Linked DNA regions of Sus scrofa. The protein of the gene in region 3 purifies or fractionates together with the protein of the main gene of each other region. This does not show direct contact. Links are inferred from orthologs where the notes say so. Each region holds a gene or a part of one and is shown on either strand. Other genes may lie near its edges. The genes, in order: UBN1, CBX5, H3F3A, ASF1A and CABIN1.

Region 1 (6,079 bases), on a different chromosome or scaffold from region 3:
GAATAAAAGGGGGAAAAACAAATTTTTTTCCCCACAGTTATAAGTTGGTAAGGGAAAGAAAAAACAAAACACAAAAGAAATACATCTTAAAAAAACAAAACCAAACACAGGGCCTATTTTATGTCCAAATCTGGCACTCTTCTACTGAGACGTGGAAATGTGCAAATATTCTAGAAGTTCCCTGTGTCTGTCATGTAACACAGTGTTCAGTAGATACAATATCCCTTTTACTAAAACGGCCCTGTTTTAAAAGCAGACCAACATCATTACCTCCTGTAATGTGACCCTGTCATTATGGAAGAAACGCAGAAAACACTCTTAAAAATACCTCTGTGCAGGAAGAGTTCAGACAGGTCAACAGTGACAATGAAGTAACAGTGACAACACCGAGACACTGAAAATGCCATACTGCAAAGAGTCTGAAGACATTTCCTAGGCTCCAAACAAGAATATAAAAACAGATCGGTTGGAAAGCTATGAAGGATCACTTCGTGCAAAACGTGGAATGCCAGCTTCTGCAATGCACTGGAGCAGCACATATGGTAAAATGCAAAGAAGATTTAAACTCAGTGGGACAAAAATACTTTGACTTTTCACTAGCCTACATTTAGATTTTTCTTACTGGAAAATTTGTTTTCTTCTCCATTTATTAGATTTATGTGCAAAGCTAAATTCAAGTTAGAAAGGATTTTCAGGATGAAAAGACTTTTCCACAAACCACCTCTGATTCAAGAAACAATAACATACTGTAGATTTAATGACGTGGTTTAAATTACACTGCCTTTTCTAAAAAAACTGACAGTGGAGGAAAAAAAAATTCTCCAATGTTATTTAAATAGGCCCAGTTAAACTCAATGTTAGGAATTCAAGGGACTGCATCTTATACTCTCCACCTCCTCAAACTCAACTTCAGATGTCCGCCAGTCACTCACCTTTCCCGGCCAAGGAGGATACCGGCCGAGTTTCCCCCTAGAGAAAACACAAAGAGTCAGCATTTGCCCTGGAAAGGCCAGTCCGTCTCCTTCAACCCACTCAACATGCAATTTATTTTCCTAAATCTCCCCTTCGACGCTCAAGTGCCAGAATAGAAAAAGCTGGGAACCAGAAGTTCTTATTGTGGCATCCACAGCTGGGCCCAAGAGGCCCAAACCCCTCAGAAATGCAATGCAAAACTGTAAACTTGTGTGCATTCTTCCGGTGACAAGGGATACAGAAAAACAAAACTACCAAGAGTCGTTTGTCCAGAACCTCCCCGGGACGTGACGAGGGTGGCGGGACGGTCTGCTGTGTAAACACAGACTTCCCCTTACAAAGTCTGGTTTCATCCCCCAACCCGGCTTTGACAAATGCTAATGGAAATCCTTCCTCTAGACTGAGAAATGAGCTACGCAGCTCAGCTGGAGGGAGGCGGCGACAGTAAGTCTTGGTTCGGGCGGTTGTCTGGGACACAGAAGCAGACCAGGGGAAGCACCCAAGGAGAAACTGGTCCCTGCCAAACCTCCAGTTGTAAAGGAGAAGTCCCCACTCCGTTTCTTCACAGGACAGTGCCAGCAGCCCGGTTTCGACACTCCCGGCTGAGCCGCCCGCACCGGTCGGTGCCATCGCAAGGCGGGTTTCGACGGGCAGGCTGGGACGCGATGGCTCCGCAGGCTCCCCGGCTCTCCCGCTTTCCCGGGAGCCCCAACCAGACCCCGAGGCGAGGACCGGGCGTCCGCGGGAGCCGCGCGGCGCTGGGCACTCCCCAAACGGTGGCCGCTGGAGTCCGGGTCCTGTGCGCAGCCCTCTCCACAGCTCAAAGCCGGGTCCGCCGCGGCCACCCTCGGCCTCAGTCCCCCCGGGCCAGGCTGCCCCTTCCGCCCGGCGTCGCTCCCAGCGCCCGCACCCCGCCTCGCCCACTCTCCGCCACCTGAAGCGAAGAGAAAGGCAGCCCCGGGGCGGGCTGCGAACCCCACGCACAGGGAGGCAACTCCCCAGCGCACATCACTCGGCCCGGGCCGCCTGGACTCACCACACCAAATCGCCGAGCCGCAGACTCACAGTCGCCATCTTACCACCCAACCACCGCCGGCGCACGGGCAGCCGGGAACATCAGGTCGTCCCGGTGCCGCCCATTGGAGTGAGCCCGGTCACGTGACGGGGGCTGACCGTAACCGGACACGCCGCTGCTCTGACGTCACCGCGCCCGCCCAGGCTCATAGGCCGGCCTAGCGGCACGTGACCCGGGCGCCGCGGTCTCCGCGCGCCGGAGCCCGGAGACTCCCGGCTTCTTCCCCCTCCCTCCGGCTCGTGACAACGTAGCGCAGCGGTCTGAGGCGGCGGCGACGGTGCGGCCGGCGGAGCGAGCGAGTCCCCGAGCTAGGGAGCAGGTCCTGCGGCCCGCTCCGCCCCAGGGCCCTGGCCTTCAGCCCCTCCCCCTCGGCGCTTCCGTTACGGCCGTTAGTCCTGCGCGGGCCCGGGGCCGCCCGCGTCTCCGAGCCGGCAGCTGCCCTGACGGACTTCGGCGCGGCCTGGAAGCCAGCCTCCGCCCGCGCCCGGGGCCTCGCGCCCGACGGGCTCTTCGCGGCCGCGCCCGGAGGGCGGACAGGTCCTTCGGAGGGTGGACAGGTCCTTTGGAGCGCTCTTTCTAACGGCCGGCGTCCAGGGAGAGGCTCCGATCCTGCGTCCGCGTCGCACGTTCTCCTGGGGCGCAGTGCTGCCCGTCCCGAAGTCCCAAGTTGCCCGGCCGACGTGGAGCCGGCGTCTCTCTGCTTCCTCCTGGGCCGGCGCGTCGGCACGGCCGGCGAGGCCCCCCGGGCGCGCGGGGACCGGGCCATGGGCCGTGGCGCGGGCCGGCCGACCGCCGGGAGGCATGGCTCGGTGGCCGGCCGCTAGCAGCGCGGCAGCCCGGGCTCCCGGGCCGGCATGAGGACGGCCACGGGGGAACGAGTGCGGCCCGCGGGGCCGTAGCCTGCGTCGCGCCGGGGACAAAGGTACGTGTCTTTGTGGGAACTGGGCTCTCACGTAAGCTTTGTTGTGGTTTGACACTTTTAGGGAAGTTGGAAACAGGCTGTTTTGACAACAGGAAGGCAGACGCTAAGCGTAGTTTCAGTATGTTCAAACTAAACCATTGAATGGGGAATCTTGAATAACAAGCAGTTTAGCACAGCGTCTGCCTAAATATCACCATCGCAGATAGAATGTAAAACATTTTAAAAAGGTTCCAATCTCAGTTTGAGAACCCAGGGAGTCTAAGTCAAGTGTTAACTTACCCGGGACTTTTCTTGAGTCACCGCCTGCATGAAAGAGTGGCAGGTCCACGGGCATCTCTCATAGGTGTCGTGTTATACAGAGACTGGGTGTAAACGGGAAGTTTTTAGCGAACTGACTTGTCCGAAGCCTGGTTTCTCTTTGGAATTCAGTTTCGCTGAAGTACCATCAGCTAGTTTCAGGAAGTGTCATTTACTGGTAACTATTTTGTGTTGTTTTAAATACAAATCTATGATTTAAAGCGTATTTAAGTTTCCAAGAGGGAACACTAAAATTCAACACACCTTCCTAACTTAATTTTTGAGGAATCGAAGGGTACGTTAATGACTTCATAAAATACACAGATCTTAAATCAACATCACATTGGACCTAGAGACATTCCCATTACAGTCAGGAACATGGCAAAGAATATATTGTCTAACATTCTGGCAGTTCTAGCCAATGCAACAAGACATGAAACAAAAATAAAACGTATTTTTTCGGAAAGTAGGAGACAAAATTTTTCTTCTGTGAATGTTACTCGACAGCCTATTTTGAAAAGTGCAAGGGAAATCCATTAAGTAAGAGTTCATTGAAGAGACTAATTACAAAGTCAGCATGCAAAATTCAGTTAGTTTTTCTACATTTTTACCAATAATCAGTTTGAAAATATTAAGAGGGTATGTAACAACAAAAAAATACTCCTGAGTATAACCTGAGGTACAGAACGAAGTTGTTATTTTGGGGTTAGCATCTGTTGAGGTTTTTTAAGAGGGGTGGTTTTGTTTGTAGAATACTGTGCTTTTATTTAGAATAATGTTCAACTCATTAAAATGCTCAGCTCATTGCAATTGAGTATCCAGGAGTTCCTACTCTGGTGCAGTGGATTAAGACTCCGACTGCAGCCGCTCTGGTTGCTTCAGAGGCCAGATGCAGTGGGTTGAAGAATCCCTAGTTGCTGCATATGTGGCATAGATCACAGCTGTGGCTCAGATTCATTCCCTAGCCTGGGAGCTTCCATATGCCATGAGTGCAGCCATTTTAAAAGAAAAAAAAATTGAGTATCTTAAGTGCTTAGCTTTTAAAAGCCTTTTAATCTTTGTTGACAATTTTATTTTTACAGATCTAAAAATGCTTATGTAAAAATATATTTGATTTTTGACAAATTTTCAATTAAGGCACCAGTTTAACAAATTGAATACCCCCAGTGAACTCTTTTTAAAAATTAAATTCTGGAGTTCCCGTCATGGCACAGCGGAAACAAATCCAGCCAGCAATCATGAGGTTTTCGGGTTAGATCCCTGGCCTCACTCAGTGGGTTAAGGATCTGGCGTGGCCGTGAACTGTGGTGTAGGTCGAAGACTCGGCTCAGATCTGGAGTTGCTGTGTCTCTGGCGTGGGCCGGAGGCAACAGCTCCCAATTGGACCCCTAGCCTGGGAAGCTCCATATGCCGCGGGTGTGGCCCTCAAAAGACAAAAAAAATAAATAAATAAACTCCCTCAGATGTTCTAACCTGAATTCAAAGTTTTATATGGTTGTTCTTTCTCTCAGATACATCACACTTCTAAAGCGTGAGCTTACAAACCTAAAAGTAAAATCTTTTCAAGGTCTTAACTCTTAGGCGTCTAATACTCATGTAAATGTAAGTCAGGTGTTTTGAAAGCATACTTTCAATTTAGTTACATTTCCTTAAGCATTTCAAGTTAAAGTTGTAACTAATAATCATGAATGTGTCTCATTCTCTTAAATGTTTCACATGAATTACTACAATGACTTAGAACTTAATCTAAAATGTAAGTGTTGATATGCTATTGTTTGATTTATTTTATTTTCTAATCTTATTTATGTAATTTCTTAGGCCTGCAAAATCACTTACCCAAGCAGTAGAAGCATTTTTATCATCTAGGGGATTGAAGTTACACTATCTAAAATTTGGGCCTAGATGAGGTTACATTTTTATTTATTTATTCATTTAATTTTGTTTTGTTTTGTTTTTGTGTTTTTAAGGCCGCACTTGTGGCATATGGAGGTTCCCAGGCTAGGGGTTGAATCAGAGCTACAGCTGCTACTAAGACTACAGAGCCTACTAAGGCTCTGTCAGCATGGTTTCTCTAATTTCAAGAACTTAGTGAAGATACGTAGAAGAAAGACTGCAAGGAAGCATACTAAACAGTGATTATCTCTGAATGATGTGAAATGGCATGTCTTTTATATGTACATGAAAACTTATGTGTATATACATATATACATATTTGTTTTTCTAAGGCCGCACCTGCAGCATATGGAGGTTCCCAGGTCTGATTGGAGTTATAGCTGCCAGCCTACACCAGAGCCACAGCAACACCAGATCCGAGCCATGTCTTCGACCTACACCACAGCTCATGGCAACGCCGGATCCTTAACCCACTGAGTGAGGCCAGGGTTCGAACGCACAACCTCACGGTTCCTAGTCAGATTCGTTTCTGCTGTGCCACGTTGGGAACTCCAAAAATTTTTATATTTAAGGTAAATAGTAGGTAAGCAGAAAACAGTAAGTGGTAATTAAGATGAATTTAACAGTGCTGTTTCTTAACAGTGAAAGGTTTTTTTGTTTTTTTAATTGAAATCTCTATAACTGAACAGGCGAGATCATCATTTTTATCATCTTGGTTTGTTTACAGAAGCCATGCAGTGACACCTACTAAGACTTGTTGGTAGCCATGTCGGAGCCCCACAGGGTCCAGTTCACCTCTCTCCCGGGTCCTCTGAATCCTGCGTTTTTGAAGAAATCCCGGAAAGAGGAGGTTGGGGGAGTAGAACAGCATCAGGACTCTGAGCCGGCTGCAGCAGCTGTTCGGATTACACTCACCCTCT
Region 2 (5,419 bases), on a different chromosome or scaffold from region 3:
TGGGTGTATGATTTGCATATCATTCAGCGCGTCTGTAGACTGGAGCAATCTCTCCATTCTCATTACTCTGAATAATCTAGAAATGACTGAACACTCCTGGCCAGACAGCTGTATGTTTTAAAAATCAAAAGCAACCCAAAAAACCACCTCAATGGCTGGTGAACTCTAGAGTTAAGGCTATTTCAAGCATTTGTTCATATTTCCTCAGCTTTGGGCTGGGACAAGGATGCTCAAAACCCTGCTATTTCCTTATTACTTTTAGTCTTGATTCTCTAGCCCCCTTCAATTATGAGGAAAAAAAGGGTAAAGAGAAGTAGGGCATTTCTTGGGGAACAAAGGCAGAAGGAGATAATCAGAAAAATAATCTCTACATATAAGGGCAGAGCAGGAAGAAGCCAAAAGAGAACTATCTTGCCAAGAAGGGAGAGGTTGTGTCAACATGCTAATTAATGCCGGGGCCTGTCACTCTCCAAGGTGATAATTTCCATAGAAATGCACTGAAAAAATAAGATACCACTACGAGTTTAAAGGTGGAAAAAAAGTAAGAGCACTAATACTTTGGGGACTCTTGGTGGCAAATCCAAGAGTCAACAAAGCAGGAAACTTATGATTATAGACACTATGAATATTTAAAATTGATATGGTGGCCAATGGCTCCCCTCCAAGAATTCCCCACTGAAAATAATGGCATGGAGGAGAAACGTGGGTCCACTGAGAAGTGAGGGTCAGGTTTGAAGCCTCTTTGGTAACAGGAATGCTTTGGGAGGCCACAAAAGTTGGCAGGGTTGGAGGGTGCCTAGCACCTTGGCACAAGCAAGCACCAGGCAGTCACTCACACCTACATAAATACATAGCCCAAATGGGAGGGGTGAAAGGAAATAATACATATGTACCACATGTGATAATAAAGACAACTGTATCCTACCCCACCATCCTCATGTACTAATAGCTAAAAATCTCCACAGTTAATAATTTTGTCATTTTATGACAGACTACACCAACTTGCAGAAGCAGAATCAGGGACAGCTAAGAAACAAGGCCAAGAGTCCTGGGGCTAAAAGGAGTGCCTTGACAAATCTGAATGTAAAATTTCAAGTCCTCCAAAGGATGGAGCTATTCTGGAGGATGGGTGAGGATGAACAACAGAGGGTGGCCCAGAAGACCACACCAGAAACCCTGTATTCTCCTGGGTAGAGCTGAATGAGGTTGGGGGAAGCCCCAACAGGTAGGCAGTTGCTATTGGCTTTTTCAAAAGATGGGCAACATCATTTCCATCCCAACATCTCAAAACAAAGGCTAGCTGGTCATCAACGTGTTCTAAGAGCCAAAGCAAGAAACCAAAATTCTTCATCAATGTAACAAAATCCCCCATCTAAAAAGCAACCAACCCTGAAGATCAAAACTCTAAAGTGATTAAAAAGTTAAAACTCATCTTGAGGTCACAGGGGAGCAGAAGGAAGAGAGCAGGGCAAAGGAAAAAACTGTGGGAATTACACACAGTATGTAAATGCCTGGTCTTCACAGAGAGACACTTATCATGAATCAGACCATCAGTTATGTTACAAGAGAACCAATACCAACATTTCTCCTGTGGAGCACAGTGATAAGCACATTTTTTATGGATGTGTTTAGGATAGAAGGGGGTGGGTAGAAGGGAGAGGAGGCAGGAAGGTGAATGTATTATGTACAAAGAGAAATGACAGAGACCACCCCCTCCTTTAGCTCTTTGCTGTTTCTTTCTCTTTGTTTTCCGCATCCTCAGGATATGCATGCCACGTCAGTCTCTCTTCATAAAATGCTATCACAATTTGTGGACATTTAACATTAGCTTCTTTTGCAAGAACCAGGTCTGCTTCATCTGTGTCTTTCCTGGAGAGAAAGAATTATGAGATTTAGAATGAGAGGAAAGGTGAGAGAGTGTCCAAACACAGGTTTATGTCATTAAATTATGATTTAGCTGACTTGATTTCTTCTCCATCTTGACTTCAAAGGGAAAAGGATCCTAACAGTCCCACATTTTCAAGGAGAAATTTAAGTAAATGAATCGAGTTAGTAAACATCATTCGACTACCACATCAGAAGACTTAAGCTAGAATAGATGGGAAACCTAGCAGGCTTAACCAAAAGGCTGAAAATTAAACTACTATATAAATTCTGCTCCCATAATTTTTATGTGTGGGTATGAGCATGTGAGCAAAGACACAATCAAACCTACATTCAGCCCTATTGATTAAGCATAAATTGCTCAATCCACTTTTTGGATCATCTGGATCATTGAAAGGTCCTAACTCTCCTCATCATGTGGCCTTTTATTTATTTATTTTTTGGCTTTTGCTCTTTAGGGCCACACCCGAGGCATATGGAAGTTCCCAGGCTAGGGGTCCAATCGGAGCTACAGCTGCCAGCCTACGCCACAGCCACGGTATCCAGGCAATGCAGTACACGAGCCGCGTCTGTGACCTACACCATGGCTCACGGCAACACCGGATCCTCAACCCACTGAGCGAGGCCAGGGATCAAACCCTCAACCTCTTGGTTACTAGTCAGATTCGTTTCTGCCCAGCCAGTAGGGGAATTCCTGCGTGACCTTTTAAACACTCATCCTTTTGGTCAGAACTGTGGATTAGAACAGTAAGAAAGTAGAAATTTCGGTCAGCAACAGTCCTTATAAAACAGAGTGAGGACGAATGTAAAATCTAGTCACTAAAATAAAATGTAGGCATTAAATGCAAATTTCAATTACAATATGAAAAAGAAATCCAGTAAGTTCCTTAACCAGAAATCCAAATCAAGAAAGAAAAAATTTTTAAATTAAAATCCCACCGAGATGTGAGCAAAGACAGCTAACCTCTTTCCTAGGAAACAGAGATGCTGAATTCATAGAGGTAAGCATTATGGATGAGAAGGGGGGTGGGGAGGGAAACACATCGCTAAGAGCAGCTACCCAAATTTGGACTGTGGTGGAAAAAGCTAGTTAACATGTGAATGTAAATCATAAGTACCACATATGGCTGAGTGGGAAAAGCAGTCAATACAGCTCCTTATGCAGACAGAGTATAGTGATTCTTCAAATACAGACTTCTGGGTAATTTACCAACAAAATTTCGATCAGATAAAATATTAAACCTCTTGACTATACAACTTCTAAGGTAATTAGCTTCCTTAGTGGCACTGTAGCATGAACTCTCTATTTAGAGACCAAACTTAAATTACAAGCCCAGAACACTTGGAAATAGAGAGGTAGTGAGGGCCACACTATAAATCACTCTGTCTTTAAGAAACCAAATTGAGGGGAAGTAACTATACTTTCCTCTAAGATCCATTCCCTCTACCGGATGAAATAATTTGTGCTTTGGCCAGTATTATTCTTAATGCTTTTTGTTGAGATTACTCTTCTCTTTTAGACATTATTGAGTGGTCTTGGTCCTCAGTGATGGCAGAAAGCCTCACTCAATTCCTATTCCATGGCCACAGGCTCGTGGTCTGATGGTAAATGATTCACAACTGTGTAAATTAAATGGTTAGGTCATGTTTATATGTTTCCTACCTCAAATCTACACATTAGTATGTGTGCTAATATATTATAATTTGGCTTAATACTAAAGCTTTCAAATGTCTTAAATCCATTCTGAACTATAATTCCCATTTAATACTGACAGTTGGTATCAGCTAAAAATTTAGCTCCCTGACGATCAAAATTCTTAATCAAAATTACTCAGTCTTCTCTCCCTATCTTCCGTACAAATTCAAGTCACTGGCAAAGAAACACAATTGCAGAGTGAGGCCCAATCTCTCTCACCATTTCATTAGGAACATTAAATCGCCACAGGAATCTGTCGCCCCAATGATCTTTTCTGGTTCCAATCCTCTCTCAAAGCCCCGAGCGATATCATTGCTCTGCTATAAATAGAAGATGAAGAAAGGTTACAGCTTGGAGATAACAGTCAAAAAACCTTCCCGTTTCTCAGCTCAACAAAGCACAACCTAAGTTAATATCACTAGATATCACTTTTGTCACCAATTCATAAAATTCTTAGGATCTAAATACAATACTGCATCAGCCAGTGACAGAGATATTTCTACAGGAAGTTGCAGCTGTCCTTCCAGTATTCCTTCAAAGGATTTGGAGTGGCCCCTAAAACTATTTAATATCCTTTAAAATATTCTGGAGTCATCATATAGAAAATCCTCTATCCCCTCATTTAATCTTGTTATTATAAATGGACTACTGCTAAATTGTTCCTTCTGGGTTGATAAACAAGTCCACAGGGGTTACCTGAAAGAAACCCTTTTTCATTTTATAAACTTCAAATATAAAACCTCTTAATCTTTATTTTTTTAGACTTTTAGTTCACCTAACACTGACCAATATTTTTAATACTTCTTTTCCCAGAGTCATCTATGCTTATGGAAGAACAGAGATAAGGATAATTCAAGGCATTATCATAAAACAGAAAATTTCTTTTCAGAGCTCACATACTGTAACACCCACACATTTGGGGAAGAGGCCCTGGTCTATGTCTATCCCTTCCTGAAGGGGATAGATCAATTGCATTAGAGAGCAGAACTGGGGACTTTCCTGGTAGTCTAGTGGTTAGGACGCACGCTTTCACTGCTGCAGCCCAGGTTCAATCTCTGGTCTGGGAATTGAGATCCCACATTAAGCTGCTGCTTGCTGCAGCCAAAAAAAGCCCCCCGAAAAAAACAAAAATAAAAAAAGAGAGCAGAACTAGACTGATAATTCTGTAAGGAATTATTCAGACTTGGTCAAACGATAATCACGCAGTCCAGACAAGGAGCATTAGAGTCTGATTCAGGTGTGCTGCCACTTGTGAGAGCAAAATGGTGAAATTTTATACAAACCAGGTAATTAAAAAAAACCTTTTTATGGAAGATAATGCAAGCTTATTTAGTGTCAATACAAAAAAAGATTTAGAAAGACTGCCCAATTGAACTAAATCTCTGATATCTGATTTTCATAATAAAATCTCTTTGCTCTGATATTCGCCTTGCTTTCTTCTGAGATACAAAGCATTCAGCGTCCAGGTGGTCCCCAAAGATACCAGAATCCAACATTGGGAAGGAAATTCCACGCATGGATCAGGGGACATACAGACTTAAAAACATAGCCTCTTTTGGGGGTGCTTAAAAGGAGGAGGTTCCCAGATGTGCACACAGCTGCTCACAGCTGGAATGCTGGCGCACGAACTGAGTCGTAAATCATAGCTGGCGGCTGAAAACAGTTTGCCACATAGGGAGGGAAGGAAAGAAAAATGTTCGAGATGCTGAAAAGGAGCCGAGGCGAGGAAAATGCTAAAATCATCACACAGGCAGTAATCTTAAATCAGGCATAATGCCGACTAACAAATTTCTTCTGCAGTGGTCTAAAGAAAGAAACGCAATCCCCTCCTGCACCCTT
Region 3 (6,127 bases):
AGTGACAACGCCAGCCAGAGCCATCAGGGAAGTCCTAAACTCCAAATTTTGAGATCATTGTTAGCCCAAGAGTTCTAGCAGTAGAGCCAATTTAAGACTGACCCTGGTATCCCTTTAGGATCCCCTTTTTGTCCTGACAGCTTTGCTCCCCCTATGATCTGACCCTAAGGCCCTTTTCTCCCCTCAGCTACAGCTCTGCCACTCTATTAGGAATCCAATGGACCTCTTCCCTTCCTTTCCTCCAAGTGCTACTTCCCTGTGTAAGGCAATGCTTCTAGAGACCATGAGCCCCATGAGGGCTTGTATTGTTCACTGTTGTATTCCAGCACCCAGAATTGGGCCCAGCACATAGTTGGCACTCAATAAATATTCACTCAGTGAGAGAACTTCCAGAAGCCACTGGTAGGTAACAAGGCACCTATCCAGGTGCCAAACATATTTGATTCTACAACTAGAAAAAACAGTCTTGGAGTTCCCGTTATGGCTCATCGGTTATGAGCCCAACTAGTATCCACGTGGGTGCAGGTTCGATTACTGGCCTCATTCAGTGGGTTAAGGATCCAGCACTGCTGTGAGCTGTGGTGTAGGTAGCAGACAATCGTGGATACTGTGTTGCTGTGGCTGTGGCATAGGCCAGCAGCTGCAGCTCCAAGTTGACCCCTAGCCTGGGCACTTCCATATTGCTAGGGTGCAGCCCTAAGAAGCAAACAAAACAAAACAAAACAAAACAAAAAATAAAACTTCACACAGATAAAAATATTTCCTCCATTTTACAGATGGTTCAGACAATCCAAGATCAGAACTATTTTACCTAAAATAGTCTTTCCTGTCCTTAGAAGTATTTTTTAAGCCAAAAAATAGAAGCTATGGAAAAATCTAGCATATAAAGAGAACATTACCCATGCTATTTAAAATTTCTTGATGTAGGATTAATTCAATTGATATGGAACAGCCTTCCTGGAAAACTCTTGGAAAAAAACAACAGATATTTTAGTTCCCTCAAAACAAAACAAAAAACAGGCAAAAATAAATAAATAAATACAACCACATTTTCTTGGCTGGAATTACAAGAACTCTTCACTGGCAGCTCAGCCTAGGGTTTTCTGCACATATGCTTTTAGGATAGGCTTGCAGAGTGCATGTGTTCTGTACAGCAACCACAGACACTTAACATTCATTAAATAATAATGAAACAGAAGGCCTGGATTTTGTTTGTTTCTCCTGGGTCTGTTCCTCACTTAAGTGACCTTGGACAAATCTATTTTTTCATATGTGATTTCCATATATCCGTTTTTAGGATAATGTTTATGATTACAATGCTTTATAAGATCTTCAAACTGCGGAAAAGTAGTTAATGCCCTCCATCTATGAAATTTATCTTTCACTATCCTATGGGATGTCAGCATGACACTTCTATTGAAAACCTTCACACATAGTTGCAAAGTGTTGTCAATACCAACTAGGGACCGTGCAGATATTCTGAGTCCAATGAACTAACAACATGGATAACTTGAAACGGTAAGTCTGTTTCCTACGCTACTGAGAATGGAAAAATATAATCATCCCCAAACCACGTTTTCCTTATTTCTGCCGGTTTTCTACCGCATGTAAACTATGCAGAAGCCGCTGACAATGTTTGATTTGGCAATTCTACCTAACATTTCATCGTTAAAAGGCCCAACAGGCTAGTAGGACACTCGGCCAGAACCGGAGTCAGGCCCTGGTGCAGTTAGCTGTGTATTCCATACATTGTTTTAGAGGCTTACAAAATACAGCCATCTTGCATCAGGCATCCCGGCCCAGGAAGGAGGCGAGCCCCGTCCCCTCCGAGATGCTACCTGCGAAGAGTCGGGCGTCCTAGGTGGCAGAGCCCGTGCGCGCAGCCCGCAGCCCGCACCGCGGGGCCCGCCTCCGTCCCCGGGCCAGTGTCTTGAGTGAATAAAGTTGTCTGAGGGCGAGCCAGCGGCACCTGGCCCGAAGCGAGGGCACGAAGACGGCCGGCCCACAGCCCTGCCAGCCGCTAGAGCCGCCCCCTCCGAAAGTGGGCGCAAGACGGGAGGCTTCTATTTGCAAGCTTCCTTTTGGGTAGTGTTTTCAACTGGGCCGCGGCGACCCGGCCCGCCGTGGCCTCCTCCCCGCCCCCACGCCGCCCGGGGTGCCTCGGGGACGCGCGCCGGGGCCCGCGCCGGAGCGGGGCGCCCCCTCCTTCGCCCTCCCCGCTGCGGCCCGAGACGCCCGCAGGTCGGGCGTTCACCCGCCGAGCCTCGGCCGGCCCGCCCCACCCCCTCACTTCCCCTCGGCGCCCCAAACCCGGGCTTCCAGAGTTCGATGACGTGTGCGCACGGAGCGGGGTGGGAGTGCGGAGCAGGGGAGCGGGAGTCAAAACTGGGGCGGGCGGGCAGCCGTCTCGGCGGGAGCGACGGCCCTTCGGCGTGTCTTTTGTGTTTGTACACACACGGCGCGAGGCTGCCGGGAGGAGGGAGCGGGCGGCGCGCGGGGGAGGGGCGAGCGCGCGCCAGCGAACGGGAGCGCGGGGGGAGGGGCGGGGGCGGGGCGCGAGCAAGGGGCGGGGGGCGGGGCCGAGCCTTCCCTCCATTGTGTGTGATTGGTTGGCGCGCGGCGCGGGGGCGGGGCGGCGTGTGTTGGGGGATAGCCTCGGTGTCAGCCATCTTTCAATTGTGTTCGCAGCCGCCGCCGCGCCGCCGTCGCTCGCCAACGCCAGCGCCGCCTCTAGCTCGCCGAGCTCCAGCCGAAGGAGAAGGGGGGTAAGTTTCCCCGTTTGCCCGCTTCCCCGGAACCGAGCCCCGCTTGCCGTCAGCCCCGGGCCGGGCCCCGGCGGTGCGGAAGGGGGGCCCCACGGTCCCTCCTGCTTGGCCCACAAACTTTTTGGCCCAGAAATGGAGAGGAGCGAGTTTCCCTCTCCCCTCAGGCGGCGGCGGCTCCGGCGGCTCCCCCGTCTCTCGCCGCCTCAGCCCAACAGCAGCAACCGCCGCGTCGCCGAGCCTGCTCTCCCTCCTCCCCGCGCCCCTGGCTCCTCTTTCTTCGGTGAAATCCCGCCCGGCGCCCCTTCCCGGGACCCCAGACCTTCACCATGACCCGCGCGGGCCTCTTAACTACAGCCCCCGGGCCCCGGCCCCCAGTTTTCGGGCGGGAAAAGGGTGGAAATTGCCGCTGCTTCCCACCCTGGGGTAACTCGCTTTTTGCTGCCTCCCCACAGTTGTTGCTAAGCTTCACCATCTTGTCTCTCTTCTCTGGTCACCGACCATATTTTTTCCCCCGTTTCTCTCTTCCCCATTTCAAAAAAGGAGGACAATTTTTAAAAGAGAAACATGTTTTTCTCCTTTTTTAGAGAAGCGGAAACTTGATGCATTTGAAATGCAAAAAAAAAAAACTTTTGCATTTTGGAGGGCGGCACGTGGCAGGGGATCGGGGTATTTTCAAGCGTTTTGGTGTTTTGTCTCTTTGGTAGGGAATCGGATACGTTTTGCGATTGTTTCCATTTTGTTCGGGTCTGGGAGCTCAGTTTGGCTGCGCGAGACGCTGGGAGCGAGACGGGCAGGCTGGGGGACCCTGTGCCGAGGGGCCGGTGGAGGCGAAACCAAAAGTTTATGTCGTGCTTGGGGTGGACCGGTCGGTCGCTCTCGTGCGTTAATTAAAGCCTGGGTGCGGGGCACTTGTTTTTATTTCATTGCGAAGCCTCGGAGGACTGGACGGCGAGGACGGGGCTTTGTAGAATGCTCGCTTGGTGGTAGCTGTTGTTCCCCTCTTGTTTTTGGAGACGCCTTTTTGTCAACAGAACTGTAGAGATGCAAAATCAGGAATGTTTTCTGATATTTACAGCAGTCTATCAACTGCCAGACGTAAAGGGGGGGGCAGCGCGGGGGGGGCTAAAACCTTTTTTGCTGTAATTTGACGCGACCTTTCTGTGGTTTGTGGCTTCATTATTTTGACTTATTCGTTGATCGGATGTTTACAGACATTTCTAATTTCTACTTTAATTAAAGAAATTGAAGCGAAGGCAGATAGGGGTCTTTTTGTTTTGCCATTTATCGCTCAGATTTAGCATTTTGAGAGGTGACTGGTGTTAATGCTAACAATTTTCTAGTACTACAGTTTGTTTCAAGAAGTCATATTTGGGTGGTAGGCGTAATCTGCACCCTTTCAAATTATGTAACATTACGGACATTTTTAAATACTGAGCCAAATTTTCAGATTGGGGGGGCGCGGTGGCAGTGGCAGGAAAACTTGTATGTTTGGTGGTTGCATGTGGTGATTTTTTTTTTTTTTTTTTTTTTTTTTGATGCTGGTAGGTAAGTAAGGAGGTCTCTATACCATGGCTCGTACAAAGCAGACCGCCCGCAAATCGACTGGTGGTAAAGCACCGAGGAAGCAACTGGCTACAAAAGCCGCTCGCAAGAGTGCGCCCTCTACTGGAGGGGTGAAGAAACCTCATCGTTACAGGTATTAAAAAGACGGGAAAAAAATGGGGCAAAGTGTATCTTCCGAAGTAATAGCTATACAATCTAATAAAAAGATGTATAATAAGCATCCTTTTTGCCTTAGGGAAACTGGTATTTTTTTCCCCTTTTGGTTATTTACTAAATTTTATATTTGGTGTTGGGTTTTATTAAGGACCATGTTTAATTTCGAAGCTGTAATCTTAGCTTAAGGGAGATGTTGCATCAGTAATATCGTTAATGCTATGGAGTAAAATTTTATTTAGCTGACACATTAGAAGTTTTTTAAATAATAAAGTATTGTTTTTTAAATACCCTTTTGAGGATGCTCTTGATTGTTGTCAAAATAATTTTATCACGATTGGGAGAATTTTTAGTCCTTCATTTACTTAAATTGGGTTATTTCCGTCTATTAAAACATTAGTTTTGAACTACCCTGAGCAGTGTTGTTAAGGGCATCTGCCATTAGAGGGCAGAAGTTATCCGTATTTAGGTGCCCTCTGTGAATGATTTTACAGTTAACCTAAAGTAAAAGCTGGTACAGTGGAAGAAATAAGTCAGAATTGAGGTAATTTTCTGGCTGAAAATCAGTTAAAAAAAGAAAAAACTTCTATATGGAAGACACCTCACACAGTCAAGAGTATTCAGATTTAATCATTGATGAGTGATGGTCCTAGTCAAACTAAAGGTGTTCTGGGAAACCAAACTTAATGTAAGTGTATTTTTAAATGAAGCTCATTGGGTTGTGTTGGTAGGACTTTTAGAAGAATTGAGGGTGCTGATATGATAATTATTACAGAAGTTAGTTAAGTATATATGAAAGATGAAGAAAATAAAGGGGATTTTGATTAAACTCCCTGCCAGGAATCTACATTAATACCATGCTTTTTGCTCTAAAGGTATTGTGGTGTTACTCTTAATAGACTTGAATATTCAGGTCATAAATTGATAAGTGAAATTTGATACCAAACCTGAAGAATAGTTAGGTGATTTTTTGGGGGGGGGGAGCGACAGCATCGCTTCAAAGCTGATCACTCTTATGTCTTTATGTATTTGGTAACCATTTCTTTAATGTGTTTTGCTTTAAAGGCCTGGTACCGTGGCACTCCGTGAAATTAGACGTTATCAGAAGTCCACTGAACTTCTGATTCGCAAGCTTCCCTTCCAGCGTCTGGTGCGGGAAATTGCTCAGGACTTCAAAACAGATCTGCGCTTCCAGAGTGCAGCTATTGGTGCTTTGCAGGTAAAATGGTGGGTGGGAAAGGCTCTAAAGAGTTGGCGGTACTGCTTTGTACCAAGAACAGTTCTAAATCTTTGCATATGCCTGTGCAATTTAATCACCACAAACTGATGAGGTACGTGATAACTATTTCACTGTTGAGGTGTCAGAAAGGTTAAGTTGCTCAAGGACATACTTACAGATATGTAGTTTTAGACTTTGAGACACTGAGATGTTTAAAGGGAAAAAAAGCCCTCTAGTTCAGCTGACTTGCTGCAGGACATTAAGAAGTCATGGGGCTAAAGGTCTGTATTGGTGATTAGATTCAAACAGTGACAATTTTTTAGGGAAGTTAGAATAAATGGCTTCCAGCACCTGAAGAGGTGATTGCAAATACAGAAATATGTGGGGTGAGAATTGGCAGTATTAAGTGTGCATTGAGGTAAAAGAA
Region 4 (5,419 bases), on a different chromosome or scaffold from region 3:
CATCTATTTAGGGAACAAAAATGATAACACGTGCTGGCACTGACTAGATTCTCCACAAGTGACCCAGAAACAACCCTATGGAAGTGCTGGTATAGAGTCTGTGTAGTGAATCCAAGAGGCAGGCCAGATAGTGCCAGACACTCTAAGAGGACCAAGACGTCTCAGAGATAACTTGTATCTGTAGGGTGATCTTCCTTTCCCTACTAAGAGGCCCCTTCCAAAGAGCAGTTATTTTACTCATCCCTGGGTCCTTCTCGAGAGCACAATGTAAAAGGTGCTCAGTAAAGTCTGAATTAACATAATGACTGAATTACGTGGAATGTCTTGAGTTGCACTTAACTTTGTCTTGTTCCTGCCTATTCCCTCTGTATATACTCTGATGTATCTAGTGGTATAATGATCCCTGGTTTCTTCTTCCCAGAATAAAGAACAAATGACATGAAGAGGTGCCATGAGGGAAAAACCTGACTGGATCTTTACCAGTTGATGAGCTGGAGCCCTAATGGGCTTCTGAGCCACAAGAGAAGTTTGCAAATTAATGATTTTTCTGCTTTGGAGCTCTTTGATGAGTCAGATCTGTGCAACATAGTATAGGGCAGCCCTTCCAAAGTGTGTTTATCAGGTTGTTAAAAGATGACATGCAGAAAGGCGGGGGGAGGGATTTCTTAGCCAAATAAATTTGGGAAATACTGTATTAATGTTACCAATGGTCTTTACTGAAGGGTTTCTCAGACCACTTGCTCTGCCATTGTGCTTGATGAATCCTCAAGAGAAGGTGGCAGCATTTCCCAAATTTTTGGTCATTGTTGTTTTGTTCCTGAGGAGCCCAGACCAGGGACCAGTGTTTCATAAAACAGCATTCTGAGAAACTCTGGTATGAAATGTAAGCATTTTATAAGGAGCACTTCAGTGTCTTTCGATTTTCTGCTATGAGAAGCCAATTTTAACAGCTGATGTATGGTTAAGTGGACATTCAAAGGGTCTTTGATGTCATCTTGTAATTACTGAATATGAAATAATGTTTTGGTTTTTAACCCTAGACCTGGAATGGAAAATTATCTATGTGGGTTCTGCAGAAAGTGAAGAATACGATCAAGTTTTAGACTCTGTTTTAGTGGGCCCTGTTCCTGCAGGAAGGCATATGTTTGTATTTCAGGTAAGATTATTCTTGGTAAATATGTAAGTTAAAATACATTTCTAAATGGTCCTTAACCCTCTCCTTTTGGGTTAAATCACTGGCTCTGCTGCATTCACTTTTTATCTGCTTCTGTCATTGTTTTAAGAAGTCTCTAGGTCATAAGGAATGCCACCTCCTTATTTTGTGTGCCGAGAGATGTTATTGTCATGTTTACTTCAGGGTTTGCACAGCATGCAGTAAACCTTACACTGTGTCATGGCACACATGATGGTTAATTTCGGGCTCTTCCTGGGAATATCTACCTTGAGGGTGGCTGTCCAGCGGCCCCAAACAGGGATTCCAAATGCTTACTACTAACTAGTATAGGTAGTAATTTACACTTTCAAATTATAGTATCAGTCACTAGGAATAATAACAAAACAACAGTTTATTACAGCATAATCAGTAGTTCAGTTAGGTTAACAGGTATGTTAGAAGAGAGAGATCTACGAGATCATGGGTCATTGGAACTAAATGAAGTCCAGTGGTCTACTAAAGCATCAAATCTACACCTCTTATAGAGAATTCCTGTTACAAATACACAACTCTGTCATTCATGAGGAGAAATTCTACTAATACAATTGTGTTCTCAGATGCCACTGATAGTATTTAGGTCTGTGCCAAGGCTTCAGACATTGTCTTCTGTATTCAAAAATATTACTTCTTTTAATCCATGGCAAATTGTTGTATAAAACTATTCCGTCACTTCTCCATTATCCCTGTTTATTAGGAGATATTTATAATAGTCCAAAGAGTAACTAGCCATAGCTTTTTAAAAAACTTAATTTTGTTACAAGTATTTCTACCCAACAGAGTTCTATCGGTTAAAGTAGAGCTCACTGAGAAGACTCACAGAAAGAAAATCTAACTTTTCTATCCTTGACCTCTCACTTTTCTCACTTCACAGGTGAGATCTGTTTAAATGAATACTGTTGATCACATAATCCCACCAGCTATGGGCTAAGAATCACTCAAATATATGGTATCATTACAGCTGCTGCCCCTCCCTCCCATCTCCTCAATATAGAATTCAGAACCTTGGTCTCCCATCCTTAGTGCTTTTTATTAAATCTAAATAAATGATTAAGAAAAGCTTAAACATTACTAAAAGGCTCCAATATATTAACTAAAAGCATAGTTAGCCTGAGTTGTGAGAGTGAATAATCTTGGTGAAGGACGGGTTATCAGAGGATGCCTGTTGGGTGGGGGGAAGCACTGCAGTCGTAGACCTGAGTCACATCTCACTCTGCTGCTTGTTAGCCATGTGTGACTTTAGACAGGCTCCAACCTCCCTTGTTCTCTCCACTCATTTATAAAATGTGAATAGCATCCTACCTCATAACAGTGTTCGGAGGATTAAAAGAGGAACCCGGCAGATAAGTATAATCACTGATAGACAGTGCCCTATTTCGATAATTAGAACCAAGGTTTTTTTAAATTCTTTTAGCTGCTGCTGCTTCTTTTTTTTTTTTTTTTTTTTGGTCTTTTTTGTCTTTTTGTCCTTTTAGGGCCACACCCGTGGCATATGGAGGTTCCCAGGCTAGGGGTCTAACTGGAGCTACAGTTGCCGGCCTACGCCAGAGCCACAGCAATGCCAGATCCAAGCTGCGTCTGCAACCTGCACCACAGCTCACAGCAACACCAGATCCCTAACCCACTGAGCAAGGCCAGGGATTGAACGTGCAACCTCAAATTTCCTAGTTGGATTCATTCCATGACAGGAACTCCCTTTTAGCGTCCTGAAATTGTTATATAAAGAAGTAGTATTTGCTTTGACCCACAAGCCTGGAGAACCTGTAATTCACAGGTAGTAATTCATGATGTAAGAAACTTAATTGGGGATGTAGTGATATACCTTTTGATGCTGCTAGAAGTGTTGCAAATAAATGCCATGTTTTTGAAAAAGCCCTTAAAGAATCTCTTCTATGTGTTTAAGGATACTCCTCAGCTTTTGCCTTGGAGTGTTGTAGGAAAAATATTATTCAAAATTATTTCCCTCTGGTGATTTTCCAGTGATTTTTTTTACCTTGGTATCTGTGCAGATGTTGCCAAAAGTACAGAGGAAGTTGTGTGTGATTTAGATCATATGTTCAGCTTATGCATTTTTTAAAATTCACCATTATCAGCAGAAAGGGACTAAAATAGTTTTTGTTTCATGTTTTTAAACAAACTACCATAGTATTCTCCTATTCTTCCATGACTTTAACTCTCAGGATGAACATGCGTTTCTCCTGAGTGTGTAAAGAGGCTAGCAGGAAGGTGCCTGGACATCTAACTAGTATTGCTTGTTGGAGTGAAAAATCTCTGCTTATCACTTCTCCATCCTAAATGATCTGAGACGTCTGCAAATTCTCTCCTTGAATTTGCTCAAGCTGCATCCTTTAGCAAACAAATTTTAAAACACAAACAAGCCTCGGACGAGTTTGTTGAGCAGATGGGAAGCAATATGGGGGGAAAGTTCCCACCGTACTGAACTAACTCTATTTCCCATCTCTACCCAAAGACAGATAGCATATTCTCAGGACAGGCCCTCTGTCCCCATTCTGGTATCTCTCCAGAGGTCATAAACCATGTCAGGGTAGGAACTGAGTTCTGAATGAATTTCAGAATACAAATACTCTGTCCCTAGAGCTATGCCAGACTTGTGATTACAAAGATGAACTGGATAGGACTCCTGCCCAGGATAAAGCCTAGAATCTCAGAGAAGATTGAAGGGTAACATATTTAGATTGTTAGACATACATTAGTAGAGAATTTGTGTCAAGTAATATGAGTGCATAAAGAGTGCTATTAATTATACCTTTGAATTAGAAAGGGTTTTGCCGAGAGGCATATATTTGATGAAAGCTTCAGAAGATGAATTTTTCAGAATGTTAGGAAAGGACCTTTCAGGCCAAGGGAACAGTATATGCTAGACAGGAAAGACTATCACTACATTTTAAAGAACCTACATTTCTAGAAGAAGAGATGTGGCGTAAAAGGGGTGTGGTATTGGTTGGAGACCAGTTGTAAAGGGCCTTAGAAGCGTTAAAGAAGTGAAATTTTTATCTCAGAATCTGAGGTTTTAAAACCTGGTGAAGGGATAGGAATGGATCTGGGTTTAGATGGCTGCTGTATAAATTGGCTAGAGCTGGGGGAGAGCAGTAGGGAAGCTTTGGTAATATTCCAGATAAGAGATGAAGACTTGGATTATGCTTTGAGATGACAGATGTCAAGACTCACTAGACGTTTTTAGTCTAGGTGACTAGGTAGATGATTTATGCCTTTTTAGGTCCCCTACATGTAGTAGGTATATAGCAGTCACTAGTCTGTTACGAAAATGGCTTGACTGAGAAGGCCAGCCAGGAGCCTTCCCAAGCTAAGGCATTGGCTGAAGTCTTTACCCAGGCTTGTCCCGTGGATGTGCTTTGGTGCCCTAGTAAGAGTAAGCCGATCTGCTGGGGCTTCAAGCACCTACCACTGAGAATGGCTCTTTGGGTTGTGCTCAGATGCCTCACTGTCACTGCCTGTCCCGTCTGTGCCTCCTTCCAACCAGTGTCCTCACTGTCTTGCCCATGGCTATGGACAGGGCCCCCGTGCTGCTCATGCTCTCAGCCACCTCTAGCTCACTTGCCTCACCTCCTGCCTTTGTCACAGTTCAGCTTACAGCAGTTTGATTCAGAACAGGATCATTGATTACCTCTGCCTAAAACAAACTTTACCATCAGTGAATTTCCATAGTATATGTGATTTAGTATTTTTTGACAATCTGCTATACTATGTAACTATTTCCATTCCATTTTCAGTTTTACATTAATTTACTATGAGAATATCTGTGAGGGTTGGGTGAGTGGGTGTGAGAATGTGTCCTGGGAAATTGGACAATCAACATTTGCTGCCAAAAGGCTGTGTGGAGGATAATTGAATATTTACTAATTTAGATCTGAAAATTATGACTAGGAAGGGTTGGAATCAATAAGACTATTGATTTGTTTACTGTATTTTATAAAAGGTTTTATAATTGAATATTGTATAATTCCTCATGAACCACCATAGACTGTATGTAGCCAGATTTATTTTCTTCTAGAAGTAGTGATGTTTTCAAGTACCCAGGGTACTTCAGTATACTGTGGAGAAACATGAACTATGTTTTCTAGCTATAATCAGTCTCGAAAATGAACATGTGGAGTTCCCGTCGTAGCATAGCAGAAACACGTCCAATTAGGAACCATGAGGTTGCAGGTTCAATCCCTGGCCTCACTC
Region 5 (6,182 bases), on a different chromosome or scaffold from region 3:
TGTATAAGTAATGAGATCCTGCACTGGGAACTGTAGCTAGTCACTTATGATGAAACATGATAATGTGAGAAAAAAGAATGTATACATGTATGTGTGACTGGGTCACCTTGCTATACAGTAGAAAACTGACTGAACACTGTAAACCAGCTATAATGCAAAAAAATATAAAAATCATTATAAGATTAAAAAATAAAAACGACACTCCCTAATAACTTAAAACTAGGTAAGTGACAACCACCCCACCAGTAGCAGAGGAAGAAAAGTCCTTATGTCTAAAAATGTAGGAACCGGAGTTTCCTTCATGGCTCAGCAGTTAACAAACATGACCTGCATCCATGAAGACGAAAGTTCAATCCATGGCCTCGCTCAGTGGGTTAAGGATCCGGCGTTGTGGTGAGCTGTGGTGTAGGTCACAGACGTGGCTCAGATCTCCTCTTGCTATGACTGTGGTGTAGGCCAGCAGCTGCAGCTCCAATTCAACCCCTAGCCTGGGAACCTCCATATGCTGCAAGTGCAGACCTAAAAAGCAAAAAATAAAAATAAAAATAAATAAATTTTAAAAATATAAAAATAAAAATGTAAAAACCTCATATTAAACAACTTCCAGGGAAAAGGAAATGCAACTAAAATTCTAGACATTTAAAGAAATACAAACAATGAAAACACGTCACATACGTAAAAACACAGTGTACTCATCCGTGGGCGGAGGGAGAGGGGGCAATAGAAAGGATTATCTCCATAGAAAAGAAAGCCTATGACAAAATTCAACACCTATTCATGATATTAAAAAAAAAAAAAAAAAAGGCACCTCAAGAAAACCAGAATTTTCTGTATTCTATATATATATATATTTTTTTTTTTTGGCCAAACCAAGCCACAGCAGTGACAACACCAGATCCCCTAACCTGCTGTGCCACCAGGGAACTCCTGGAATTTTCTTAACAATGTTAAAACACACATACCTTAGTCTAAAGCCAAAATTTATTAAATGAAGTAACACCAGAAGGACTTCCTTTAATACCAGCAATAAAGGATGCCCACTGAAATGCCATTTCTCACCTAACACACTGGCAAAAACTAAAGCACAAAGGCACACTCTTGGTGGTAAGGTTGTGGGGAAACAGGCACTACTCTCAAACACCTTTGGTGGGAATGCAAATTGGTACAAGCCCCCCACAAAAAAAACAAACAAACTAGTATAGCCCCTCTGGAAAAGAGTATGATAACAGGCAACAAAATCACCAATGCACTTACCTTTCAAGCCAGCAATCCTAGGAATCTACCCTGAAGATGCATCTCCAACCATGTAAAAATACATATGCACAGGGTTCCAGCACTGTTTGCCATTGCAAGATCTTGAAAACCACCTAAATGGCCACAGATAGTCCAGGATATGAATAAATAAACTATGGCACCTCCATACAATGAAGTAACATTGCAGCTGCAAAATCCATGAGGGAATGTTCACAGCTACATTATTCATAATAACCAAAGAGAAGAAACAACCCAAATGGCCATCAACTAATTTCTGGATAAACAAAATGTGGTCCAGCCATACAATGGAATATCAATCAGCCATAAAATGGAATGAACTAATGAAAACACAGATGAACCACAAAAACATGATGCTGGGAGTTCCCACTGTGGCTCAGCAGGCTAAGAACCCAACGTAGTGTCCAAGAGGATGCAGGTTGGATCCCTGGCCTCAGTCAGCAGGTTAAAGATCTGGCATTGCCATGAGTTGCGGTCTAAATAGAAGACTCAGCTCAGATCTGCATTGCTGTGGCGTAGGCCGGCAGCTGAAGCTCTGATTCAACCCCTAGCCTGGGAACTTCCATATGCTGCCGGTTGGGCCCTAAAAAAGCAAAACAAACAAACAAACAAACGAAAAACTCAGCAAGGCCAAAAAGTTTAGAAGTTTAGTAAAGACTAAGTAACTGGTGGAGTGCTGTGGATGCTCCAGTTCTATCCCCAGCGGGGCGCAGTGGGTTAAAGGATCCCCCTTTGCTACAGCTGTGGCACAGGTCAAAGCTGTGGCTGTGATGCAACCCCTGGCCTGGGGAACTTCCATTATGCCACAGGTGGGACCATAAAATTTTAAAAAACCAAAAAGGCACATTCAGGACTTAAACCTCATGAGTTTCCAAAATCTTTATGGTACAGTTTTCATGGCCCTCAGAACACATGACAACAGCACACCCTGAGCACCTCACCCAGATCCAGTGATAAGGGGTGATGTTTCTTAGCAGGCTCTGGCCTGGGAATGGGGAAGCCTGGGCCGTGTGACTGACATGGCATCAGATGCCGGTCTCTAGGTCATTTCCCTCCACTGTATGAGGCTTTGGGCTAGACTTGGGATCCACAAGCTACCAAGCCCACAGTTTCTGTACAGCTCAAGAGCAAAGAATGGCTTTTTCTTTTTCTTTTTTTTTTAATGGCCATACCCATGGCATATGGAAGCTCCCAGGCCAGGGATTGAATCTGAGCCACAGCTGCAACCTACCTACCCTGCAGCTGCCGCAAAGCTCGATCTTTTTAACCCACTGCTGGGGATTGAACCCCTGCCTCAGAAGCAACCCAAGACGCTAGGGTGGGCAGCACAACCCACAGTACAATGGCAAGAACTCCCACTTTTTACATTTTTAAATGGTTGAAAAGTTCATGACACATGAAAATTACTGACAACATAAAATTGCAACTTCAGTGTCCCTAAATGAAATTTTCTTGAAACAACTTTACGAACTGTCGTTGGCTGTGTCCACAATACAGCAACAGAGCTAAGAAAACTATGCCCCCTCCTCATTATAAGCACAATTACACTCATTATTGTCACAAGGAATAGTATCATATAAACTACTCTATTTAGAACCGAAGTTTGCTGACCCCTGAACCAGACGTCTCTGAGGACACATGGGTCCTAACCACGGTTATGTACCACACAGAAAGAACCCCAGCCGCTTGGTCCGCATACACAGTAGGCCCTTCACCAAGGGGTGAAGGAACCCCTAAAGCCGCCTGTGCAGACACCTGCCGACGTCAGAAAGCTCCACCTGGCCTCCTCCGGGACGGCAGTGGGTCCAGGCTTTTAGTCTGGAGTCGGCTAGCCTGCCGGGAAGCTGGGGACTTGGGACAAGCGGCCGCACCACCTCTCGGCCTCAGTCCCCATCCCGCGAGGGGCGCCCACCTGGTGCCCGCCGCGCAGCGCCGCCGCGAAGGTTAAGTGGAAGGACACGCAGCAAGGGTGGGTGCGGGGCCCTGTTCCGCGACCGCAGACGGGACGGCTGAGTTGTTGAGACCCCCACAGCGTTCCTGAGACCCCCGCCCCAGGCCCCAAGCGGAGCGGGAGCCGCCAAGAGGTTCGCGCGGCAGTGGGGCCTGGCTCGGCCGCTCGGGCTCCCAGCCTGGGTTTTTCCGTGAGCAGCCCCCAGCCAGCCGCTCCTCAGCACCACACCTCCAAGCCTCACCCCAGCCCGGGGCCTCCCCAAACCTGCAGTACGCGAACTCACGAGTCGTCTCCACGGCAACAGGCCGTCCGCCGGACCCCCGCGCCCGTCGGAAGGACTGCGCGCCTGACAACAAGGAGCGCTCCCATTGGCTCGGGAGCCGGCTCCGCCAGCCAATCGGCGAGCCCGCACGCGCCTTCCCGAGAGCCAGCGCGCGGGGACCTTGAGGGCCTCTTGGCGGTAATCTGCAGCGCGGTTGGTGACACCTGCTAAGTAATCGGCAGCAGTGTTCCAACTGCGACAGGTGCTCGGAAGGTGGAAACCTGGGGACACTTGGAGGGGACCAAGGGAGTAACAATATTCTCATTCCTATGCCCGTGGCTCACCTTTTTCCGAAAAGGATTTGAAGCCTAAAAACCACAGATACAACGAACTATTGAAGCAGAGAGTACTGGGGGCGGGGAGCGGAGGGCGGGTAGTCTGTTGGGAGGTGAACGGGCGGGGGAGGGAACAACAGAATTTAAGAGCCTGGAAGAGGGTTTCTGACAACCGGCTGGGACTGAGATGTTACGCTCTTGGGAGCTAAGCATTTTAGGGAAGGGCTTCCCTGGTTCAGATTTATAGGTGCATGAGTCCAGGAAGTATGATTTAAATAAGAATGAATGTTAGGAGTTCCCTGGTGGCTCAGCGGTTTAAGAATCTGACCTTGTCTGGAGTTCCCGTCGTGGCGCAGTGGTTAACGAATCCGACTAGGAACCATGACGTTGCGGGTTCGATCCCTGCCCTTGCTCACTGGGTTAACGATCCGGCGTTGCCATGAGCTGTGGTGTAGGCTGCAGACGCGGCTCGAATCCCGCATTGCTGTGGCTCTGGCGTAGGCTGGCAGCTACAGCTCTGATTCGACCCCTAGCCTGGGAACCTCCATATGCCGCAGGAGCGGCCCAAGAAATGGCAAAAAGACAAAAAAAAAAAAAAAAAGAAGAAGAAGAAGAATCTGACCTTGTCACTGCTGTGGCTTGGGTTTAATCCCTGATCCAGAGAACTTCCACAAGCTGTGAGCCTGGCCAAAAAAAGAAGGATGAATCTTACGCCCTTTCTCTTTGACTTTGTTTAAAGACGGTAAAATCATGCTGAAGAACTCAATTCAGTACAGTAAAGCTTTAATGATATGCCAGGAGGTACAAAAATAATTGAGTCACCAAGCTTGATTTTGAAAGGAGTGTAACCTGGGCAGGGGTGGGGAGCTGTAAATAGAGAGTAAGCAGATGGTTTAGAAGTTTCATGAATGACTTGCAGCCTTGGACGCAGCTCCCACCCCCTGAAAGATGCTCTGAAGTAAAACAATTGAAAAAAAGATGCGGGAGTTCCCGTTGTGGTGCAGCGGAAACGAGTCCAACTAGGAACCATGAGGTTGTGGGTTCGATCCCTGGCCTTGCTCAGTGAGTTAAGGATCTGGCATTGCCGTGAGTTGAGGTATAGGTCACAGACACAGCTTGGGTCTTGGGTGGCTGTGGCTGTGGCGCCAACTGGACCCCTAGCCCGGGAACCTCCATATGCTGTGAGTGCAGCCCTAAAAAGAAAAAAAAAAAATTTAATTTAAAAAGAAAAAAAGAGATAAAGGTGGTCCAAGCAGCAGGAAGCTGTGTGGCAAGGGTTTAGAGTTAAGAGTGCAGGCCATGCAGGAACATCATGCAGTCTGGTGTTAAGCAGCAAAGCTCAGGAGCACAGTGGGGAGAGATACTGCCAAGCTGGTGGAGGGGCCAGTCACTACAGTGATGAAAGATTGAGGTGGGAAGACCAGACTGGCCCTGGCAAGGGTTAGGCCTGAATCCCTCCTTGGGCACTTCAACCATTCATTTACATTCAACCCACAAACATTCCCCATGTCCCTTTGAGAAGCGGGACATTCATGTTGGCAGGAAAAAGTGCAGAAACAGGAAGGGAAGCAAGGGGCAGGAACTTGGCATTGGTTAGGTACAAAGACCAGGCACAGGTGCATTCCTTTGGAAATGCACCTGGACTGCATAGACTAAAAATCTGTTTGGTATTTCATTGGTGCACAGGATGATGAAAGCTTTAACTGTGTAGGGAAACATAGTGCCCACAAATGTCTGAGATTTAAACTCAGCATCAAACATCTGGAAGAAAACTGATGGAATTTCCGTTGTGGTTCGTTGGAAACCAACTGGACTAGTATCCATGAGGGATGTGGGTTCATTCCTTGGCCCCACTTGGTTAAGGATCTGGCGTTATTGTGAGCTGCAGCATAGGTCGCAGATGCAGCTGAGATCCTGAGGTGCTATGGCTATGATATAGGCAGACAACTACAGCTCCAATTTGACCCCTAGTCTGGGAACTTCCATATGCAACAGATACAGCCCTAAAAAGACCAAAAAAAAAAAAACCAAACCTGCAAGGAAACTGAGGAGGCTTCTTTGAGGCTTCCCCCACCCCACCTGTATATCCTCTGAAATGCCAAAGCAGGATTTGGTCTTTAGATAAGGGGGTGGGATCTTACTCATTCTGTTTCTAAAGACAGCCATTTCCGGGTTTGCCATCCTGGGCCATGGATTTCACAGGGCACACAGTAACAGAATTATCAGCAAGATTTATGGGACATGGAGTTTGGCAGGGTCCTGGGAAGGTCCCTGAAGCCCAGCCCCACTGCTCCCCTCCCAGGCACAGCAGTCCATGGGCAGTGAACTGTCAATCCTGAGGATAGGAGTTCCCGTTGTGGCG

What was found.
Region 1: the proteins of H3F3A (region 3) and UBN1 purify together in Homo sapiens (affinity purification with western blotting, with the first as the bait; 3 studies listed by BioGRID). This does not show direct contact. The link is inferred for Sus scrofa from reciprocal best matches to the Homo sapiens genes H3-3A and UBN1.
Region 2: the proteins of H3F3A (region 3) and CBX5 purify together in Homo sapiens (affinity purification with mass spectrometry, with the first as the bait; 3 studies listed by BioGRID). This does not show direct contact. The link is inferred for Sus scrofa from reciprocal best matches to the Homo sapiens genes H3-3A and CBX5.
Region 4: the proteins of H3F3A (region 3) and ASF1A purify together in Homo sapiens (affinity purification with western blotting; 8 studies listed by BioGRID, with this or other methods). This does not show direct contact. The link is inferred for Sus scrofa from reciprocal best matches to the Homo sapiens genes H3-3A and ASF1A.
Region 5: the proteins of H3F3A (region 3) and CABIN1 purify together in Homo sapiens (affinity purification with western blotting, with the first as the bait; 3 studies listed by BioGRID). This does not show direct contact. The link is inferred for Sus scrofa from reciprocal best matches to the Homo sapiens genes H3-3A and CABIN1.

Annotation. Positions count from the first base shown.
Region 1 is NC_010445.4:37,551,411-37,557,489, reverse strand, and holds the start of UBN1 (ubinuclein-1), read left to right. Parts: upstream 1-2,234; 5' UTR 2,235-2,969; intron 2,970-5,886; 5' UTR 5,887-5,925; coding exon 5,926-6,079. Other genes in the region: putative oxidoreductase GLYR1, read right to left, coding at 933-969, 2,009-2,046. UniProt on the Homo sapiens protein: Acts as a novel regulator of senescence. Involved in the formation of senescence-associated heterochromatin foci (SAHF), which represses expression of proliferation-promoting genes. Binds to proliferation-promoting genes.
Region 2 is NC_010447.5:19,452,688-19,458,106, forward strand, and holds part of CBX5 (chromobox protein homolog 5), read right to left. Parts: intron 3,901-5,419; coding exon 3,800-3,900; intron 1,870-3,799; coding exon 1,719-1,869; 3' UTR 1-1,718. UniProt on the Homo sapiens protein: Component of heterochromatin that recognizes and binds histone H3 tails methylated at 'Lys-9' (H3K9me), leading to epigenetic repression. In contrast, it is excluded from chromatin when 'Tyr-41' of histone H3 is phosphorylated (H3Y41ph).
Region 3 is NC_010452.4:13,937,209-13,943,335, forward strand, and holds the start of H3F3A (histone H3.3), read left to right. Parts: upstream 1-2,729; 5' UTR 2,730-2,765; intron 2,766-4,310; 5' UTR 4,311-4,333; coding exon 4,334-4,461; intron 4,462-5,546; coding exon 5,547-5,700; intron 5,701-6,127. UniProt on the Homo sapiens protein: Variant histone H3 which replaces conventional H3 in a wide range of nucleosomes in active genes. Constitutes the predominant form of histone H3 in non-dividing cells and is incorporated into chromatin independently of DNA synthesis.
Region 4 is NC_010443.5:43,203,899-43,209,317, reverse strand, and holds part of ASF1A (histone chaperone ASF1A), read left to right. Parts: intron 1-1,040; coding exon 1,041-1,156; intron 1,157-5,419. UniProt on the Homo sapiens protein: Histone chaperone that facilitates histone deposition and histone exchange and removal during nucleosome assembly and disassembly.
Region 5 is NC_010456.5:49,784,123-49,790,304, forward strand, and holds the start of CABIN1 (calcineurin-binding protein cabin-1), read right to left. Parts: upstream 3,592-6,182; 5' UTR 3,488-3,591; intron 1,368-3,487; exon of another isoform or gene 1,255-1,367; intron 1-1,254. UniProt on the Homo sapiens protein: May be required for replication-independent chromatin assembly. May serve as a negative regulator of T-cell receptor (TCR) signaling via inhibition of calcineurin. Inhibition of activated calcineurin is dependent on both PKC and calcium signals.